Linked DNA regions of Diceros bicornis minor. The protein of the gene in region 1 purifies or fractionates together with the protein of each later gene. This does not show direct contact. Links are inferred from orthologs where the notes say so. Each region holds a gene or a part of one and is shown in the gene's direction. Other genes may lie near its edges.

What was found. The genes of interacting proteins can lie anywhere in the genome.
Region 2: the proteins of PRPF4 (region 1) and GPHN purify together in Homo sapiens (affinity purification with mass spectrometry; 3 studies listed by BioGRID and IntAct, counting the BioPlex papers as one, with this or other methods). This does not show direct contact. The link is inferred for Diceros bicornis minor from reciprocal best matches to the Homo sapiens genes PRPF4 and GPHN.

The regions. Positions count from the first base shown.
Region 1 is NC_080767.1:21,522,527-21,532,469, forward strand, and holds the start of PRPF4 (U4/U6 small nuclear ribonucleoprotein Prp4), read left to right. Parts: upstream 1-6,026; 5' UTR 6,027-6,107; coding exon 6,108-6,155; intron 6,156-6,180; exon of another isoform or gene 6,181-6,250; coding exon of another isoform or gene 6,251-6,277; intron 6,278-7,006; coding exon 7,007-7,187; intron 7,188-8,885; coding exon 8,886-9,072; intron 9,073-9,943. Other genes in the region: anaphase-promoting complex subunit CDC26, read right to left, coding at 3,153-3,233. UniProt on the Homo sapiens protein: Plays a role in pre-mRNA splicing as component of the U4/U6-U5 tri-snRNP complex that is involved in spliceosome assembly, and as component of the precatalytic spliceosome (spliceosome B complex).
Region 2 is NC_080763.1:15,243,772-15,253,728, forward strand, and holds the start of GPHN (gephyrin), read left to right. Parts: upstream 1-5,557; 5' UTR 5,558-6,019; coding exon 6,020-6,083; intron 6,084-9,957. UniProt on the Homo sapiens protein: Microtubule-associated protein involved in membrane protein-cytoskeleton interactions. It is thought to anchor the inhibitory glycine receptor (GLYR) to subsynaptic microtubules.

The DNA.
Region 1 (9,943 bases):
AGGGCTAATCTTCCTCACAAAAAAATAAATAGGGCCAGCCCCGTGGCTTAGCGGTTAAGCGTGCGCGCTCCGCTGCTGGCGGCCCAGGTTCGGATCCTGGGCGCGCACCGACGCACCCCTTCTCCGGCCATGCTGAGGCCGCGTCCCACATACAGCAACTAGAGGGATGTGCAGCTATGACATACAACTATCTACTGGGGCTTTGGGGGGAAAAAAATAAAAATAAATAAAATAAATAAATAAATAAAAGGCTTCCCACCATGAAAAACTGCTGTTTCAGAATCTAGAGTCATCAAAATGTAATCAAACTAATTTTAGTAACAAATGAAATACCAGTTTTCTACTGGTTTCATTTTAGTTCAGGGCAAAACTATCCCTCCCTCCTAAGTTGCTCTAAAACAGGTCAAACCCACTGGCTAATTGCTTTTAGTAGAAAGACTAACTCAATAGTGAGCTGACTCTGAAGAGTCAAAGTTCAGTACGCTAGCACTTTATGAGACTCACTACAACTGAACTTTACACTTAAAGCTCACCCTTAGAAACTATCAATATGAGCTTTTAAAAAGCAAAAAATTATGATACTTAGAGAACACTAAAGTCTGCTGGGGTGAGGAAGAGGGAAAAGAAATCCAAGTTATCTGTCTTAATAAGAAGCACAGACAATACATAATAAAGCCATTATGTTCGTGGACATGTACAAGATATAATGTCCTCTGCCATAGAGTATAAAATATCTCCTAGGACAGCAAATGAAAACAGACTTGTATTGAGCATCTCCTTTGGGCCTGGTACTGCCGGGAACAGATGCAGAGAAGAATATATTAATTCGTGCCTTCAAAGAGCATATGGCCTAGTGGGGGAAAACAGAAACACAAATAGTTAAAACAGAGTGATAGTGCCTACGAGAGAGGTCAGCACAGGAGGAAGAGGTTGAACCTAACCCAGCGGGGGACAGGTAGACTAGGAAGACTTCTGGCTGGAAGGAGCTGAGTCAAAAGATGAGGTGTTAGGCAGGCAAAGAAAGAGAAAGGGCATTTCAGGCAAAAGGAACAGAATGTGCAGAGGCACTGAGATTCAAGTTAAAGATAATGCAGCAGCGGGAGATAAAGTGGAGTAATGAGCAAGGACCAGGTCATAAAGGGCGTTGCGTGCCTAAGGAATCTGGACCTTATTCTGAAGGCCACTAAAGAATTTAAGCCTTATTAATGGACATCTAATACTGTGGGGTTAGGTTACACTTTAAAATACATACTGAGGGGGCCGGCCCTGTGGCCTAGTGGTTAAGTTCGGTGCACTCTGCTTCGGCACCCTGGGTTCGGTCCCCGGGCACGGACCTATACCACTCGTCAGTGGCCATGCTGTGGCAGCAACCCACACACAAAACAGAGGCAGACTGGCACATATGTTAGCTCAGGGTGAATCTTCCTCAAGCAAAAAGAGGAAGATTGGTCAGGGCCGGCCTGGTGGCATAGCAGTTAAGTTTGCACACTCCATTTGAGCAGCCTGGGGTTCACAGGTTCGGATGCTGGGCACGGACCTACACATCACTTGTCAAGCCATGCTGTGGTGGCGTCCCATATAAAGTAGAGGAAGATGGGCACGGATGTTAGCCCAGGGCCAATCTTCCTCAGCAAAAAAGAGGAGGATTGGCAACAGATGTTAGCTCAGGGCTAATCTTCCTCAGGAAAAAAAAAACATATCAAGCTCCTACTATTTACAAGATGCTGGGAACTAAGTGGTAAAGAAGACAGACATGATTTCCACCATCAAGGTTCCTAATGTAATTGGTTTTACAATAAACAAACAAATCATTGTAAATTATAATAAATGCCATGAAATAAAAGAATAAAGTGCTGTGAGAGACCCTAATGAGATGGAGGCAGCATGGATAGGATTGATACAGCTAACTAAGATAGGCTCAGAAGAGGCCTGTCAGACTAAGGAAATGACATTTAAACTGAGACATGAAGAGAGGGGGAGCACTAAAGGCAGAAGGAAATAATATGTGCAGAGGCCACAGGTAATGAATAGTTTGGCATCTTGAAGGAAATGAAAGCAAGCCAGTGTGCCTGGGGTACAGAGGGCAAGGCAGAGTGGCAGGAGGTGAAACCTGAGAAGGGCCGGAACAAACACATCTTGTAGGCCATGATAAGGAATTCAGATTTTATTCTAAGTGCAGAAAACCACTGAAGAGTTTTAAGGAGAGGGATGACATGATCTGAAAATTTTTAAAGATCATTCTAGATACCTGATGGAGAATGGATTGAAGAGACAAAAATGGAAGCAGAAAGACCATTTTTAGGATGCTACTGAAATTGTACAGAGAGATGATGGTTACTTGGACTAGGGTTGTGCAGTGGAGATGAAAACATGGGTAAATTCTGGAAATATTCTGGAGGTAAAATCAAAGATTTATGGACAGATTGAATACAAAGGGGGAGGAAAAGGGGGACTCAGGTTTCTGGCTTGAGCAACTGCCCAGAGACTGAGATGGGGAACACTGAGGTGAAACTGGTTTGAGGAAGAAATCAAAGAGTTTTTTGTTTTAACATGTTAAGTGTAGTAGGCTGAATAATGACCCCCAAAGCTATCAGGTCCTAAGCCCTGGAACCTGAAAATGTTGCCTTATATGGGAAAAGGGACTATACACATGTGATTAAATTAGGGATCTTGAGGTGGGGGCGTTATCCTGGATTATCTGTGTGGGCCCTAAATGCCATTACATATATCCTTATTAGAGGGGCAGTGGGACACAGACAGAGGAGAAGGCAATGTGATCAGGGAGGCAGAGATTGGAGTGATGCAGCCACGAGTCAAGGAATGCTAGCGGCCACCAGAAGCTAGAAGGGTCGAGGAACGGATTCTCCCCTAGAGACTGCAGGGAGCACAGTCCTGCTGACACCTTGATTTTGGACCAGTGATACTGATTTCACATTTCCGGCCTACAGAACTGTGAAAGAATAAATTTCTGTTGTTTGAAACCACCAAGTGTGTAGTAATTTGTTACGGCAGCCACAGGAAACTAATACATTAAGTTTGAGAGGCTGTAAAGCGTCCAAATAGAGATTTCAAATAAGCTGCTGGTACAAGAGTCTGGAGTTCAAAAGTTGGAGTTTTAAATATTCCTAAGGGTTTGAAAGTTGTGCTCTTACCTCCAGGTCCTTTCGAATGCTCTCAAACTCCTCAATGTCATCAAGCTTCAGCTCCAGGCGGGTTGGTTTTCGTCGCAGCATGTTGAAATCAACATCAAAGGCCAGACCCAGTGAACTATTAGCTGTTAAAAAGGCAGAGAGAAGGAAAAACTGGAGGGGATAAATCTCAGCTGCAAATGTAAGATCAGTTTGTACGCATGCTTGCTAAAATGAATGGCAATAAAAAAGATTCATTTGGGGCCGGCCTGGTGGCGTAGCCCTTGAGTGCGAATGCTCTGCTGCGGCAGCCCGGGGTTCGGACCCGGGCCACACCGACGCACCGCTTGTCAAGCCATGCGGTGGCGGCGTCCCATATAAAGTAGAGGAACATGGGCATGGACATTAGCCCAGGGCCAGTCTTCCTCAGCAAAAAGAGGAGGATTGGCAGATGTTAGCTCAGGGCTGATCTTCCTCACAAAAAAAAAAAAAGATTCATTTGGATTCACACATAGACTTCTAAGACTTTTGGTGTATGATTATTACATTTTTATTACATGATTGAGATCCACAACTTTGTAATTCCAAAAAACTCTTTCTTCAAGAACTTAAAACGCCAAACTACCTATAAAAGAGAATTCTAGGTAACAATCACTTTAATCTCATGCTCCTGTCACATTCAGAGAAATATTCTAGCTAAGAGAATAAAGTTAAAAGATCACATCTTAATTCAGTATAGTCAGTGGGAGAGTATATAAGCCATTAAATTTGATCAACACTACATGAGAATTGTGAGAGATTTGTGATCACCCCCAAATGCTAAAATAAATTTACTAAATCTCACGAAAACTCCCTCTAACTCACCAATTCACAGAGTTGTCCTAAGGATCTAATTAGGTCCTAAATGGATATGTCATTCATTAAACAAACAATTCTTGTGCTCCAGCTACAGAGTTAAAAGGCACAGTCACAGTCAGTGGGGAAAACAAACACATAAACAGAAAATTGCAACACAGTGTAATAAAACTCTGGCAAGGGTAACGCAATGGCACCAAACAGGCACCAATCCAGTCTGGGCTGAGTGTGAGATGGACAGGAATGTGGAGGGCTTCCTGGAAGAGATGATGTCTTAGTTGACTGGTTAAGGACAGACAGAGTAAAGAGATTAAGGGCATTCCAGGCAGAGAGAACAAATACGCAAAGAGGCTCAAGAGAACCCTCCAGAGCTTGAAAACCCTAGGTAATGCTTATGCTAACAAAAAACATTTTTTTGAGAAGAAAATAAAACTCCCCAACTGAGTTTAAAATCTGTGGATTGCATCTTCATATTCTCCACAGCATCCAGTAGAGTGTATCTATAATCACCAGTCAGTAAACGTTTTGTTGAATAAACTGAGATCCAATTAAAGTGAAATGAACTTTTCTTCAGCACTGTGCTATGCTTTTCCATTCCCATTCTTTACATTTTTATTTTAACATAGAAACTGTGACACCAACAAAATTACCCCTATTTTACAGATGACGTCGAAGCTGTTCAGTTTGGTTAATAAATGTCAGCCTCCTATAAAAATTATACATACGTTCCACGGTGAGGATTGATGTAAGATGATTGATGTAACTGACTAATGTAATGAGAATGATGTAAGTGAAAGCTCCTTTAAAGTTTTTACAGACATAAATTATTATTACATGTATCCAGGATGTATCAAGGACTGTGAAATATACAAAGGAAGAAATGTTTCCTTCTCCCACGAAGCTTAGGTGATATTATCAGATAAATACAGGTGATATTATCAACCCAAAACACCAGCACATTACATTTCAAATTGCTTTACATTAAATCAGATAATATCTTGATTCCAGTGTAGGCAAGTGGTAGAGGGAGCCAAAGTTCGAGGGGGGCGGTGGGAGCGGTGGATGCGTAAAAGAAAGAAAAAACTGCTTTGCATTTTAACTCTTCGGCAAACTGTGAAAAATTCTATGAAGCAATATAGAGTAATGGGTACAAGTGCTCTCTAGAGGCAAAAGGGCAGAGGGCAGAGGTTCTAATCCCATCCACCACTTATCACAAACAATTAGCTTCATCCTTCACTGGATTTTAGTTTCTGTAACCGTACTCTGTTGTTGTATGGATTCAATGACGTAATGCAAAGTAAGTTCCAGGAACATAACTTGGCATTTAGTAAACGCTCAATAAATAACAGCCATTATTATTGTAATTGTCCTTGGGCGTAGGGGCGGGGAGGGGCTCTGTCAGCTCGGGAAACACCAACATTTTAAGCATCTCCACCCTCGCCATGGGGGCAAAAGCCTCGTCTTGTTCATCTCTGATGCCCCAGCACGCAGCGGAAGGCAGGGCCATGCAGAGTTGCTTGCGTGCAGATTACCTGACGCCTCACATCCATCATCTCACTCTGAATCTGATACAAAGACTGGGCTGAAGACAAACAACAAAATCAGGCCCTGGCTCCTCCGCCGGGTCTTTATTCTACTTTGGAGCTAGAGTGCTCTTCGAGCTGTTTCTCTCGCCACTGCTCGAATTCATCCAGCTCAGAGGGAGCCCCTGGCAGAGGACTTCCCGACAGCGGAGAACGAGCACAGCTCTCCTTCCGCAGCTCCAGGGCAGCACCCGGGGTCCAGGGTGACGGTTTCCATGGCAACAGGGACCTCCGCTCCAGGATGACGTAAAGCCGCGCGTCGGGCCGGGAGGGACCGCAGGCCCCGGAAGCCCTAGATTCGCTCCCGAGTTCAGCCCGGAGCCGCGCGCCTCGACGCACCTACCTCTTTTCAAGGCTGCTCAGCCCCTTCCCAGAACCTCGGCGCCCACTACGACTCTTCTGCCAGGCCAGCTGGACTACACTTCCCAGACTACTCTCAACCTCTCTCCTCGCAGAACCTCGTCCTCCGCGTGCTTTCCTCGGAGGACTACAAGCCACGCCTCTCGACGCGCCCAGAATCTGTCCTACTACGACTCCCGTCATGCTCCACGCCGCCCACGATGCTGCGCCGGCTGTCGGCCCACTTCCGGTAGGTGACGCAGTTCCGCTTTGCTGGGCGCGCGGTGGACGGTCTGAAACGTAGAGGTCGAGTTTCGCTGGGGCTTCGCGGCTCCAGAGCTCGGCATGGCTTCCTCACGAGCCTCCTCCACGGTACAGAGCTCAGCTCACTCTGGCAGGGAGCGCCGAGGGGTGGGGAGTCCAGCGGGATGGGGCCGTTAGGGAACGGGCTAGGCGGTGGAGGTGTGAGGAGGAGCAGCGTGTTCCCGATCCCTCAGCGCTTTCATGCGCTTTAGCTTATTTGCATCACTCGCTACACCCGCGAACGGTAAATATCTCTTCCCACGGGTCCAAAAACGCAGCTCTGAAAGGGAGGACGTAGTGCCTTGGCCGAGATGTATGTCCGTGTCAGACCTCTTAATTGTAATGAGGCCTTCTTTCTTCCTATCTACAGCCTGACGTCTGAAAACGTTTGAAGTGTATAGACCAGCATCTTTGTAACTTGTTTCCCCCTTACATCGCCTTGGCTATTTCAGTTATCCTTGATATTTCCCCTGTGATGAGCAATAACCCTGGAAGTGTCGTAAAACCGCAGAAGACATTGCACTTCCAACAGAATGAAGTAAACGTGTTTAAAAGCAAACCTTTGATAGGAAAATCACCAAGAGAAATGCACGAGTATCCTCAACTTCTTCCTGTCTGCAAAACTTAAGTGATTGAGAAACACCCCCCTCAATCAGTGAAAACGCATCTTAAGGTGTCCAACTTGTCGTTTCCGTTCGGGAAGAAATAGGACTGACGCTCAGGATGAGCCTCATCCTTTGGGGAAGGCCGGTAAATTGCTAAGGTGAAGCCTTAGGTTAATCCAGGTCTTTGATTTAGCAGGCGACCAAAACTAAGGCACCTGATGACTTAGTCGCTCCTGTTGTGAAGAAGCCACACATCTATTATGGAAGTTTGGAAGAGAAGGAGAGGGAGCGTCTGGCCAAAGGAGAGTCTGGGATTTTGGGAAAAGAAGGACTTAAAGCAGGAATTGAAGCAGGAAATATTAACATAACCTCTGGTAAGATGCAAATTGTGAGTCCATGTTTACCTTTGGTGCTCAACTTTTCTGTAATGAATACCTTCCTAAACTTAGATATCACTAGTTTTATAGTGTCATAAAATTGCAGTTTTAAACTTGCATCTGTGTAAGGTTTTACTTTGCCTACCCCGCTTATCATCATCCAGAACGCCTTTTTCTTAAAACCTTTTATACAGTTTTTCTTCCGTGAATTGTTAGTAATTTTGTCAGGAGTTTATTCAGCGTGTATTTGGCTTCAAAGTGATTCCGTTTGTCTTCTGGAGATCTAGCATAGTTCTGGCATTGGTTTGGAGCTACTGTCGTTCATAATATTCTCCGTTTTTTTAGTTTTGCAATTACTTTTCCCTCAAAATGAAATGTTTTTTAAATTATATAAGTAATAGTTATTTTTATTTTGAAAAATATCAAACAATGTAGAATTGTGAAGTATAAAATCCTGTAATGCTTATTAATTGGGTGTATATCTTTCTGAGAATTTAATAAAGCTATGAAAATGTATAATTTTTTTCCATAAATGAAACCATGATATACAAATAGTTTTGTAACTTGTATTTTATACTCTATGTACTATTGAGGATATCTTTCCATGTCAGTAACTGGTGGCCTACTGTATTTTTAAAATAAAATTATACATGTTTGTCATAAATTCAGACAGTACAGAATGGTATAAAATGAAAAGATTTCTTTGCAGAAAGGATCTCTTTCAGGTTTCTCATTGATCCTCCTACACATTTTCTTTTCTATACACATGCACTTTACAGACATTTTTAACCATTTATGCTGTTTTTAAACATAACTGCATCACCGCTGTTCTTCTCATTTTTCATCCAAATGCTTGTATTTGGTGTGAGTTTTAAAACTAGCTGCTAGAGGGGCCGGCCCCGTGACTTAGCGGTTAAGTGCTCGCGCTCCGCTACTGACGGCCCGCATTCAGATCTCGGGTGCGCACCGACGCACTGCTTGTCCAGCCATGCTGAGGCAGCGTCACACATGCAGCAACTAGAAGGATGTGCAAGTATGACATACAACTGTCTACTGGGGCTTTGGGGAGAAAAAGGGAGAAAAAGGAGGGGGAATGGCGATAGGTGTTAGCTCAGGACCAGTCTTCCTCAGCAAAAAAGAGGAGGATTGGCGTGGATGTTAGCTCAGGGCTGATCTTCCTCACAAAAAAAAAAAAAAAAAACCAGCTGCTAGATTATCCAAAAAGCCTTCGAGTCAAGGAATATCATTTTCATGGTAATTCTTTCTAGTTTACTAGTTTCATTTGTAAGTGTCCCGATACTGGGACTGTTTTAGAGAATAGCTTTGGCAATTGTTAAAACCGCATTTCTATTTTATCTTCTGGATAGAAGAGCCATTTAACTCATTTGCTAAAGATGCTCCGTACTCTTTCTCATCTCATGTAAGCTGTGTGTTTATATGGGTGTAAGGTTGCCAAATCAAACAACATGACTTGAACCATTTTCCTGCCTCTTAAAGCTGTATCATTTAATTTTCTGTGTTTGGCATAATTTAATAAACTGAGAAAGAGTAAACTATATCTATAAAGTGCTTAATAGATTAGACAGTTGACTTTCCCTAGTAGCATACACAGACTCTAATTGTGAGAAATTATTTCTTTTCCTCTATTTGAAGAAGATCTGGTGATTATGCTGATGTTTCCTGTTCTTTTTATAGGAGAAGTGTTTGAAATTGAAGAGCACATCAGTGAGCGACAGGCTGAAGTATTAGCCGAGTTTGAGAGAAGGAAGCGAGCCCGGCAAATCAACGTTTCCACAGATGACTCGGAGGTCAAGGCTTGCCTTCGGGCCTTGGGGGAGCCCATCACGCTTTTCGGAGAGGGTCCTGCTGAAAGAAGAGAAAGGTGCCCTTTCTAGATATTTACTCTTTTCTTTTTTTTTTTTTTTTGTGAGGAAGATCAGCCCTGAGCTAACATCCATGCCAATCCTCCTCTTTTTGCTGAGGAAGACCGGCCCTGAGCTAACACCTATTGCCAATCCTCCTCCTTTTTTTCCCTTTTTCTCCCCAAAGCCCCAGTAGATAGTTGCATGTCATAGTTGCACATCTTTCTAGTTGCTGTATGTGGGGCGCTGCCATAGCACGGCCGGACAAGCGGTGCATCGGTGCGTGCCCGGGATCCGAACCCGGGCCGCCAGCAGCAGAGCGCGCACACCTAACCGCTAAGCCACGGGGCCAGCCCCTACTCTTTTCTTTTTTAACCACAGGGTTCTAGTCCCAAATTTCAGTTGGTAATGTAGCTAAAACTTTAATAGAATGTCTCAGACAATGTTAACAGAATAGTTTAGCCCATAATCTGAGCCTTAAGCCAGTTTTTACTCTGCTACTAATTTGTCTTTATAAACTGTGAAGAAGGCGTTAACATGCTCCTTCCCCTCCCCAGTGTGGAATTTTGAGTTGGGTAAATGTTTGTTGAACTTTGAAAATTTAGACAACAAAGGCATTTCTTGTCAATGACGTAAAACATAGTGAGAAGTGTTTTTTGGATATTGTTGAAAAGGGCACTGTCCTCAGATAACGCTCCTCTTGTGATTTTAAAATTGCAGAATCTCTTTTTTTTTAAAGATTTTATTTATTTATTTTTGTTCCCCCCAAAGCCCCAGTAGATAGTTGTATGTCATAGCTGCACATCCTTCTAGTTGCTGTGTGTGGGACGCGGCCTCAGCATGGCCAGAGAAGCGGTGCGTCGGTGCGCGCCCGGGATCCGAACCTGGGCC
Region 2 (9,957 bases), on another chromosome or scaffold:
CTCCCTGCCAGCAGCCTCACAGGGCCAAAGGCAGGCTGGTGGGAAAGCGCTGACCAGCAAGGCCACAGGCTCCCCCTCCCTACAAGCAGTTGCATTCCTCACAACTTTTAAACTCCTTGCCTCCCATCTTTTGGGGAGACGGGACAAATTTGAAAGCTCTCGTCTCCCGGCTGACGTCACCTAAAATAAAAACTCTTTCTTTGCCATAAGCCTGGCGTTCCAGTTTTATTTGGCCCCTCTTGTGTGGTGGGTAAAGAACCTGGGTATGTGTCTGGTAACAATTGGACTTTAAGTTTAATTACATGGAAACCGATTATTAATAATAATAATTTAGAAAAGCACGATGCTTTTGTTTTAAAAAGTTCACTTAAACTCAATTCATGTCAATTGTTAAGCTTGGGACTATCTTTTCTTGACCTATATCTACTGAATCCTACAGATTGAAGGCCCTGTAGACAGAGCCCATTTAAGAAACCAAATAGCTTCTGGTCACTTAATGTTACTTTTTCTTTTAACAAATTTCACTCTCCTTTCTCTTATCTAATAATTCTTTCCTCTTCTAGCAAATATTGTCCTCCTCCCTTATAGTCTACACTTTCTTTGAATTAAGAAGGGAGAAAAACCAATGCTTTCTTTAGAAATCAAAATTTTTTGTTCCCAGTTTCTTTATTAACATGCAAGTAGTACTAAAGGTATAAATTAGAGCCCTTAGAAAAGAACAAAATCTATAGTAATGGTGGAGAGCCATAGGAGTCTGTAAGAAGAGTTGAACTAACTGCTAATGTGTCAAGGCACTAGCCTTACATACAGTACCTAGATCCATCCTTCCTTGATCTTAGTCCGTTTGGTAGGGGTGCACCTGATGCCCATTCTCTGGGTGAGTACATGACCGAAATCTAACCAATCAGAGAATGCCTTTCCCCTTGCCTTTGGGGATAGGGACATGATCTAAATCTATGGTTCTCAAGATATTGGTCTCAGGACCTCTTTGCACCCTTAAAAATATAGCTTATATCTATTATATCTATTCATATTTACTATGCTAATTTTTTAAAATATAAAACTATACAAATACACATTCCATTAGCTATCAGAGTGATGATATCATTACACATCATGTAGCCTCTGGAAAATTTCACTGTGTCTAATGAGAAAATGAGAGTGGAAAGACAAATAATGCCTTAATATTAGTATGAAAACATTTTTGACCTTGCAGAACCTCTGAAAGGGTCTTTGGGTCTCCAGGTATTCCCAGACTGACTCAAAAACTATTGATCTAAATTATAGCCTAGAGAAGCCAATACCATCTTTGCCACAATGTAGGAAGAGCCAATGTGAAAATTAAATCAACAAAGAAGAAAACATAGCTGAAAGATGGCATCTTGATGACATAGTTTCAGATCTTGAATCTAGCCACATCCTGAAGCAATACACATATCTAGACTTCCTACCTGCATGAGCCAATGAATTCGTTTTGGCTTATACTAGGATCAGTCATTTGCAACCAAAAACGTTCTTGTACATCTGAATTTCCAGTTGGGACCTCAGAGAAAGAGAGTAAAGTTGGGAAAAATACAAAAGACCAGGGCACAAAACAATTTTTCAAGCAGCAATCTGGGCAGCAGAAATTTAATAGCAAAAGTACAAGGAAAAGTTCAACTTTATTTTAATAAACATGGCAGACATTGAAAAACATTATCCTAGTTGTTCCCAAATAAGTTCCATCAAACTCCATGAGCAATTGAGGTGGTTCAGCCTCTCTTCCCTAAAAGATAACAAAGGCATCAGAACTGAAAGCAAAATGTCAATTTCATTAGTAGGAATGAGTAAATTTATCTCATCAGACTTGGGAAAACTCTAATTTAGAAAACTATTTCTGGGGGAAAAGCATTAGGCTACTTAGGTCAAATATTAAAAATTTACCCATATTCTCTATTCTATACATCTGTACTTCCTCCAAGAGTATGTCTAATTTCTAAATCCTAGCTTTTAAAGAAAGCTTTGAACCTTCTTTTCTGATAGGTTGAATTTCTAATTTATATGTTTTCATGAGAATACACAGTAATGTAATCTATCACTGCCTGTACTGGGTTGAATAGTGTCCCTCCAAGTTTCACATCTACACAGAACTTCAGAATATGACCTTATTTGGAAATAGAGTCTTTGTAGATGTAACTAGTTAAAATTGGGTCATACTGGATTACAGTGGGCCTTAAATCCAATGACTGGTATCCTTATAAGAAGGGCAAGATACACACAGGGAAGAAAGACATGTGAAGACAGAGACCAAGATGGGAGGGATGCAGCCACAAGCCAAGGAAGGCCAGGGATTGCTGGCAACCACCAGAGGCTGGAAAGAGGCAATGAAGAATTCTTCCCTAGAGCCTTCAGAGGGAGTATGGCTTTACTGACAGCTTGATTTCAGACTTCTAGCTTCCAGAACTGTGAGAGAATAAATTTCTGTTGTTTTAAGCCACTCAGTTTGTGGTACTTAGTTACAGCAGCCCTAGGAACTAATACACTCTCTGATTCAGCCAGTCTAAAATTCATCTTCACTATAATCTAGCTTCCTTTGGGGAAAAACAGGTTAAAATCAACCAGAGCTTCACCTTGCACCCATTTTTTTTTTATTGTGCTAAATACACATAAAATTAACCATTTTAAAAATAATTTTATTTATTTATTTTTTCCCCCAAAGCCCCAGTAGATAGTTGTATGTCATAGCTGCACATCCTTCTAGTTGCTGCATGTGGGACATGGCCTCAGCATGGCTGGAGAAGCGGTGCATCGGTGCGCACTCGGGATCCAAACCTGGGTTGCCAGCAGCGGAGTGCGAGCACTTAACCGCTAAGCCACGGGGCCGGCCCGTAAAATTAACCATTTTAAAGTGTACAACTCAGTGACATTTATTCAAAATGTTGCTTGCACCCATTTTTAATTGCCTTAGTTTTAGTTTGGGCCATTAGCCAATCAGGAAAGAGGAAAGAGCGGAATATGCCTTAGAGGAAGAATAATCTGTTACCAAATTCATTCTTGCTCATCTAGTGCTAATGAGGAGAGTCTGACCCCAGAAAAGCCTAGTAAACTTGAACCTTATTTATATTGAAATTGTGATTAACCACAGAAAAACTCAAGTACCAGTAGAGTTGTGTATATACACTACTGGAAAAAATTCAACCTTCATTCATTCAGTAATTCATTTCTACTGATAGTTTCATCTTCATAAGGAAAATCATTATGAAAGCCAGATGTTTACCTATCTTTTATGTTAATTTTCAGTTAATGTAAACTCCTATAGTTTTCATTATTAAAACCTTAAGAATGGAGAGAATAAAGCCCTGGGCACTTCTAATTTTTCCCATACAAACTTTCAACTTTTTTACCTCTGGTTTTCCCCCTTCACAACATATTTCCTGATACATGTCAATATTTGGAAATGCTACTCTTTTTCTACCTTCCAGAAAATTTTAATATTTGATTTCAGGATGAATTTTGAAGAAATGTTGCACTGTAACAGGGATAAAAGAGCATGTGCATACCGCAATATTCATTCAATAACCAGGAGTAAAAGAAGGTCATACTAGATAGTAAGGGCACTGGGTTTTTCCTGTGTAAATTTTGTTACGCCATGCTAAATTTGGCAGAGATGAATATACTTGAGAAAAATTGTTGGAAGACAAGCAGCTATTATAATTCTCCAGCTTAGTTCTATTAATATTACTTTTTTCAGCAATTTTAGTAGTTCAGCAAACAAACCTCCATATATCGTACGCTAGAAGGCTTAATTCATATTCACCTTTCCTAATTAAATTTTAATGAATTTCACCATTACTATTTTCATAGATGCAGAAAGTTAGTCCCTTGTCTTCTATATTTATTTGTGAAATAGAAGTGCCAGCTTCTTTCCATGAATATTTGCAGAATAGTATTCTAAGTTGAAGGGTGCTTATTTTCTCTACCACTTTACTTAAGGGGTGCTTATTTAGTCCACTACCTTGTTTAAAAGATGAAGAAAAAGGTCCAAACTTGTTTAAGGTCACAGGACCTGTTAGTGAGCAGCTTTAGAATTTCTCTCTCTAAAAATTCAAGATATTTTCTAATCATTTCAAATCAGAGGGTGCTGTAGAGAATAAAGATAGGTTAGAAAGGTAACAACGTAACCAACTACTTGTTCATCGTCTTCAGTTTGAGATTAAGGAAACCATTCTGTTGGACATACTTCCACATATATATCTCTCATTTGAAAGTAGTTAAGAATCCCTTAGCCACCAGGCTGTATGGTTATAGATTATTATAGGAAGTGGGTTCAAGATCTGGCTTCGATTTTTAATCCACTGTCAAAAATACTAGCAATACACATACTCAAAAAAATTTTTACTAATTTATTTTACCCCTCGTCAATCCACTAATCATCCCCTTTATACTCCCATTATTTAAAATGAAATACATCACAATCTAAATCTTCAGTTAGAGGATACGCTCATGTTCCAACTGGAACAACAAAAAACTCATAATCACCAAATTGACTGAGATTTTAGCTGCATACAAACGTTGATTATACATTTTTTGACACTTTGCTTTCATTTTTATGCTTCCCAGGTTTTAACATGGTTGAGAACATGAGGGAAAAAATATACATATGCGTGTATGTAATTTTTATTCAGAAGTTGAAAGAGCTAGGAAGACGGGAACTACGAAACCGATGTGAAATAGCCACAGGTGATTAATAACATTTTATGAAAGACACATGAAAATAAGTGGCAACAAAGCTATTTTCATGGTCGTCTCATATCCCACAAATACTGAAATGAAACTCAATTGCCACGGCCTAGGTTCCAATTTTGTGATTGTGGTTCAGGTGGGAGGAACACGTTCTTATTCTCCAAGACTGGTGCTTTTCATCTAAAAGCAGAGACCGTGGCGATGACGCTTAAGGCCACAAAATCACGGGACAGCGGGAGGAAAAGAAACCAGGTATCTCCACTCAAGATGCTGTGCCGCAGACTCCTAAGCTTCCCTTGTGAGGATGGTCACGCAGGTGCAGACTTGGAGATGGGATCCTGAAGCACCGGAGAGGCGGAAATCCTGCGGCAGGGCGAGCCGACTGAAGAAACAAGCGGGAAGATGAGGCGGGACAGACTTCCTTCTTCGCCCACGCCGGCTCTCTGTCATAGTATCCGCGGTTCGGCCATCCAGACAGCTTTCTAAGCTACCTCCAGGTTCTCTGGCGGCTTCAGGGGGTCGGCCGGCCGCTCCCGACGGCTGCGAGGAAAGGCGTCGCACGCTGAGCCCACCTCTCGTTCCCTCGGGAGAGCGGCTCGGCGGCCTCCAGAGCCGGCCCAGGGCGCCGACAACCGACGAGGAGCCCGGCTCGGCAGGGGATTGCTTCTGTCTGGGCCGCGGCGGAGGCTGCGTTCGTGTCTCGCGCGCACCCGCTCCGCGTTCTTCCGGCCAATCCGGAGCTACCCGCGCGCCCAGGAGCGTTCTCCGCTCCTCCCCGGGCTGGGCGGGCTCCTTCGCGCTGCCAGTACTCCGCAAACGAGCTAGCACTCCTCCCCTCACTCTCCACGAGTTCCACGCCTCGCGCTGTGGCTCCGCCCTTTCTCGAGTCCGCCCCCGCAACCTCCAGAGCGTGTGCTCTCCTTTCCCCTCGGTCTCCAGCCATCTAGCTGCCCTGGGTCTCCCGCTCCGCAGAGCGGCCAGCGCCTCTCCGGCCTCGCTCGGACGCCTCCGCGCGCCTCCTGGGGAGGCCACCGCGTCCACTACTCGCAGCTCTCCGCCTCCGACCCGGGCTCGGGGTCGCGCGCCCTGACTCCGCCCCCTCCCGCGGACTCGCGCACTCCGGGCCCGGCCTCTCCCGGCTCAGGCCGCCGCGCGCTCGGCCGCCCCCCACCCCTCCTTTCCCGCTCCCCGGGCGCTCTCGCTCTCGCGCTCTCCGAGGCGAGCGCGCTCCCGGCCCGCGCGCTCCGTGCTCCAGCTTCTCCCGGTTCCTGTCAGTGCGGTGACTGCGCTGGGAAACATGGCGACCGAGGGAATGATCCTCACTAACCACGACCATCAAATCCGCGTCGGAGTCCTCACAGGTAACCGGGGGAGGAGATCCGGGACCGCCGCGGCCGCTGTCCCCGACTTGCCTCCGGCTTCTCGCCTGTGGTGACCCTTCTCTGCGGCCCCGGGAGGAGGGAAGGCTGACGAGGGGGACGGGGGAGGGCGTTTTACAACTGCCGACAGCTGCTGGAGGTTGGGGTGTTCCCGCGGGGCCCCCCGGGAGCTGGGGCCGGCCCCGTGGGATGTCAGGCCCCAGTTCCTTCGCAGCCAAAGTCCCTGGCCCCGGGGGACCGAGGGGCCGGTGCGGCTGGCGCTGCGGGGCTCCTGCTGCCGGCGCAGGCGGCGGGATCCCGGCTCCGCAGTCTGAAGCACTGGACTCTCGGCGGGCCCGCGCTTCCTCGACTAGTACTCTTCCGAGAGAGGGGGGAATCCCATTTCCACCCTCCCTCCCCTCCCCACACCCGGGCGGCCCTCTCGCTATGCATGCCCGGGGCACCGGCCGGACACGACACGGGGGTTCATCCGGCGAAACTCTGCTCCGCCTCCGGCTGCCCCTCGCGAGCCAGGCTTCCCCTTAGCCACCCATGGGACACCCGTCGTCTCCCCCGGGAGGTGGGGGCTCGGCTTACACCCGGACCTCGGAAAGTGTCTGCCGTCCGCCTTCGCGAGCAAAGGGCCCTCTGCCCGCCCCTTCCTTTCCTTAGAGCGACGGGCTGCAGCCTGCGGCCAGGGATCCGGCCTTTTTTACTTGAGAGGGAAGGATTCCCCGACTCGGGCTCCTCTGTCCCCCTCCCTTTTGGGAACCCCCCCTCTGGATGGTCCCGAGGTTTGCGAGGAGCGCACTTTTCCCGGGTCGCGTTTCCCTCCCTCGCGGACGCCGTGTGTGCTCTGCATGTCTGATTCCCTGGCGTTGTATTTGGGTAATATCTCTCAGTTCGGCGATAGGCAGTCGCTGCAGGGCATGACTTCCGAGATGAATAGCCAGCCGATTTGTAGGGGTTTCTGCTGTGGTTCTGTAGTTGGCAAGGTTTATGTGTAATTGAGTGGCGAGGCAGGGGTTAAGGAACTATATTTGGCATCTGAGGGCTTAGTTCGAAGAGAAGGAAATCCAGGACTTAACTGATGTGATTTCGGAAAAAGAAGCGATGTAGACGGGAATCCTAGTGTCTCCCCCCACCACTTCTGTTTAATTTTTTTCCCCTTGTCAAATTCTGACAGGTTGAGACGGTGCTCGAGAAGGGACTAAATTGAAAGAGACTTGCTTTTATTAGGTAGAAAAAAATCTCTGTCGGTAGTTACTGAATGCAAAGCCTAAATTGGCTGCCGAGTTTTGTGAAAAGGAGATATCCGTGGAGATACCCCTTCCTCTCTTTTAAGTAAACGGATTGCCTTTCTCTGGTATTCTTTTCAGATGTTAATGGTGATTTATTGAGTTTTCCTAATCGACAGCCCCTGGGATACAGAAACTAGTCTAAACCAGTTGCAGGGAAGGGAACCCCCAAATCAGAAGATGCGCTGTTTTCTCCTCTTGGTGCTGAAACAGTTGCCTTGTGCGAAGATTGAGTTATATCTCAGAATTCTTAGAGTTGACATTGCTGATTTTCAAAGAATCTAATCGCGAGGTGTAAAAGTGTATACGTTATATCAACCATCAACTTACACTTTAAATTCTAGTGCTTTGAAAATTAATAGAGTAGTAAGAGTGAAGCTTAGTAGAAGCCAAAGTATGGCAGCTGTCCATGGAAATGGAAGGTCATAGATGTTTTAAAGTTAAACCATAGAGATTTTTTTTAAAAAAACATATTTATTTTTTGTTTATTTAAGCTTTTCCTAATAGCTTCATTTAGTGAATCATCTTACCTGGGTCAAGTGACTTAGTAGATAGGTGTTGTACAGAATGCTTTTAAAGATGCAGCCCTTATCTGTATCCCTACAGTCCAAGAGGGATAACATGGATATGCAAACAGCTAAAGAAATAATGTAGGTAATTATTGTGCTAAAACTGTCTGAATAAATACTCTTGTGTTTGGGGGCTAAATGTAAAAGGAATTCCATATTCAGATGGATTAGGAGCAAAGGTGTTACCTGAAGAGAGAATTAGTATATTTACCAGAAGTGTAAAGAAACTGGCATTTTTAAGGCAAGGTGAAAGTCAGCGGCAACCTTATAAATGAATATGTTGGTAAGGATAAGGCTCTTGAGGAGAATAAAAATGTAGTGCAACGGCCTTGAAAAGCTGAGGTGAGATAGGTGGCAGAGGCAAAATGTCAAGGACAGAAGATAACTTTGGCAGTGGAATTAAAGATAATTTTGAGAATTATCTCATAAGAATGAGGTACAATAGTTTAGTGGTAAAAGTCTAGGGTCAGTAATAAGGATGTAGCTGAAGGAATGAAAAGGAAGTTGCAGGTTTGGGAGAAATGGTAACAGGACAATACGATTTGATGATAAAATGGATATTTGAACTCAGAAATAACTCTGAGGTTTTTACTTGAAAAGTTATTGATATAAATATTGTCTGCTATGGTGGAGGCTGGAAACATGGAGAAGAATCAGAGGAGAGAGCACCAGCCTTCAGTCTGCAAATAGTGGATTTTACTACAAACAGCTTAATATTTGTGGTCTTGACATTCCATGTGATTTTGTGGGAAAAAAACTCCTACAAAAATGAAGCTATGTTGTGCAATTTTGTGTCTTGTAGAACTTCAGGTGGTGCAGTTTTATTATGTAAAATTATTCTTTACTGAATTTAAGTACTATGATTTCATACTTAAGAAAATTGAGTTGAGGCCACACTTAAAACTGATTTTATGAGTTATAATTTGTGGCTCTCTTAAAGGTGAAGGGCTTGTTTTATGAAATATCCTCTGTGTGCTTCATAATAGTGATTTTAAGTATTTTATCTAAATCTCTTTTACAGAGGTAGTGGAAAGTAGTGTCTACCCATGCACACATTTTACATTGTGTTAGTAGTGTGGTGAAATTGTATTGTCATTTATAAAGTCTTTAATTGACTTCTTTTTGACATTTTTTATTATTTGTTGAAAGAGAATATTTATACTTTGAAACTTTTCATCTTCTAGATGTTTTTGTAATCCTCATCTCAGCTATGAATTTGGCAAATATAGTATACAGTCTATTGAAACTTCTCATCAAGTGAATTATTAGAATTTTGAAAGAATAATGGTAGAAAGGAAAATATTTAGTAATGGCGTTTCTTTTGTGCTTGACTATCTTGAATCATTTAAGACTTGGAAATCAGATTATGATAATGTAACATGGATATTTTAGTTATACTAATTATTTTTTATCAGGAAAATAGGGAACAGTTACAAATATAAAAATAGATTATCATGGAAACATTTTATGTTGGAGATTATTGTCCATCTCTGACAACAATATCTTTATTAGTAACTATCTTATGTTTATTTGCTAGAAGTGAAGGTTATATCGTTTTTGGTGACCTGAGATCTAGTTTTTAATATACTTTTTTTTAATGTTCTCTACTTCTATTGCTATTTATAACAGAAACTAAAGATAATGTGATGATGAATACCATGAGGCAAATAAACAAGTATGTGCTGCTTTGAAACTAGAAACAAGATGTGGGGTAGATGTAGGATTTTTTTTTCTTTGACAGCTTCAGTAGTAATTATACTTCAGTAGTAATTATACTAGAATATCTTAACAATTACATAGCAGGCTCACTATATTTCAGATGTGTCAATTGTCACCTACTTTTTTCTATTTCTAAAGAAGCTGTTTATCAGAGGAGCACACTAGTTCTACCGCTATAAAAGCTCCACGGAAACATCAGGCAAATAATGAATACATGTATGTATGTAATATAGAATGAGATAGATTATGTTCCATTGGCTATTTAACAGTGTATTAGTTAGCCACTGCTAA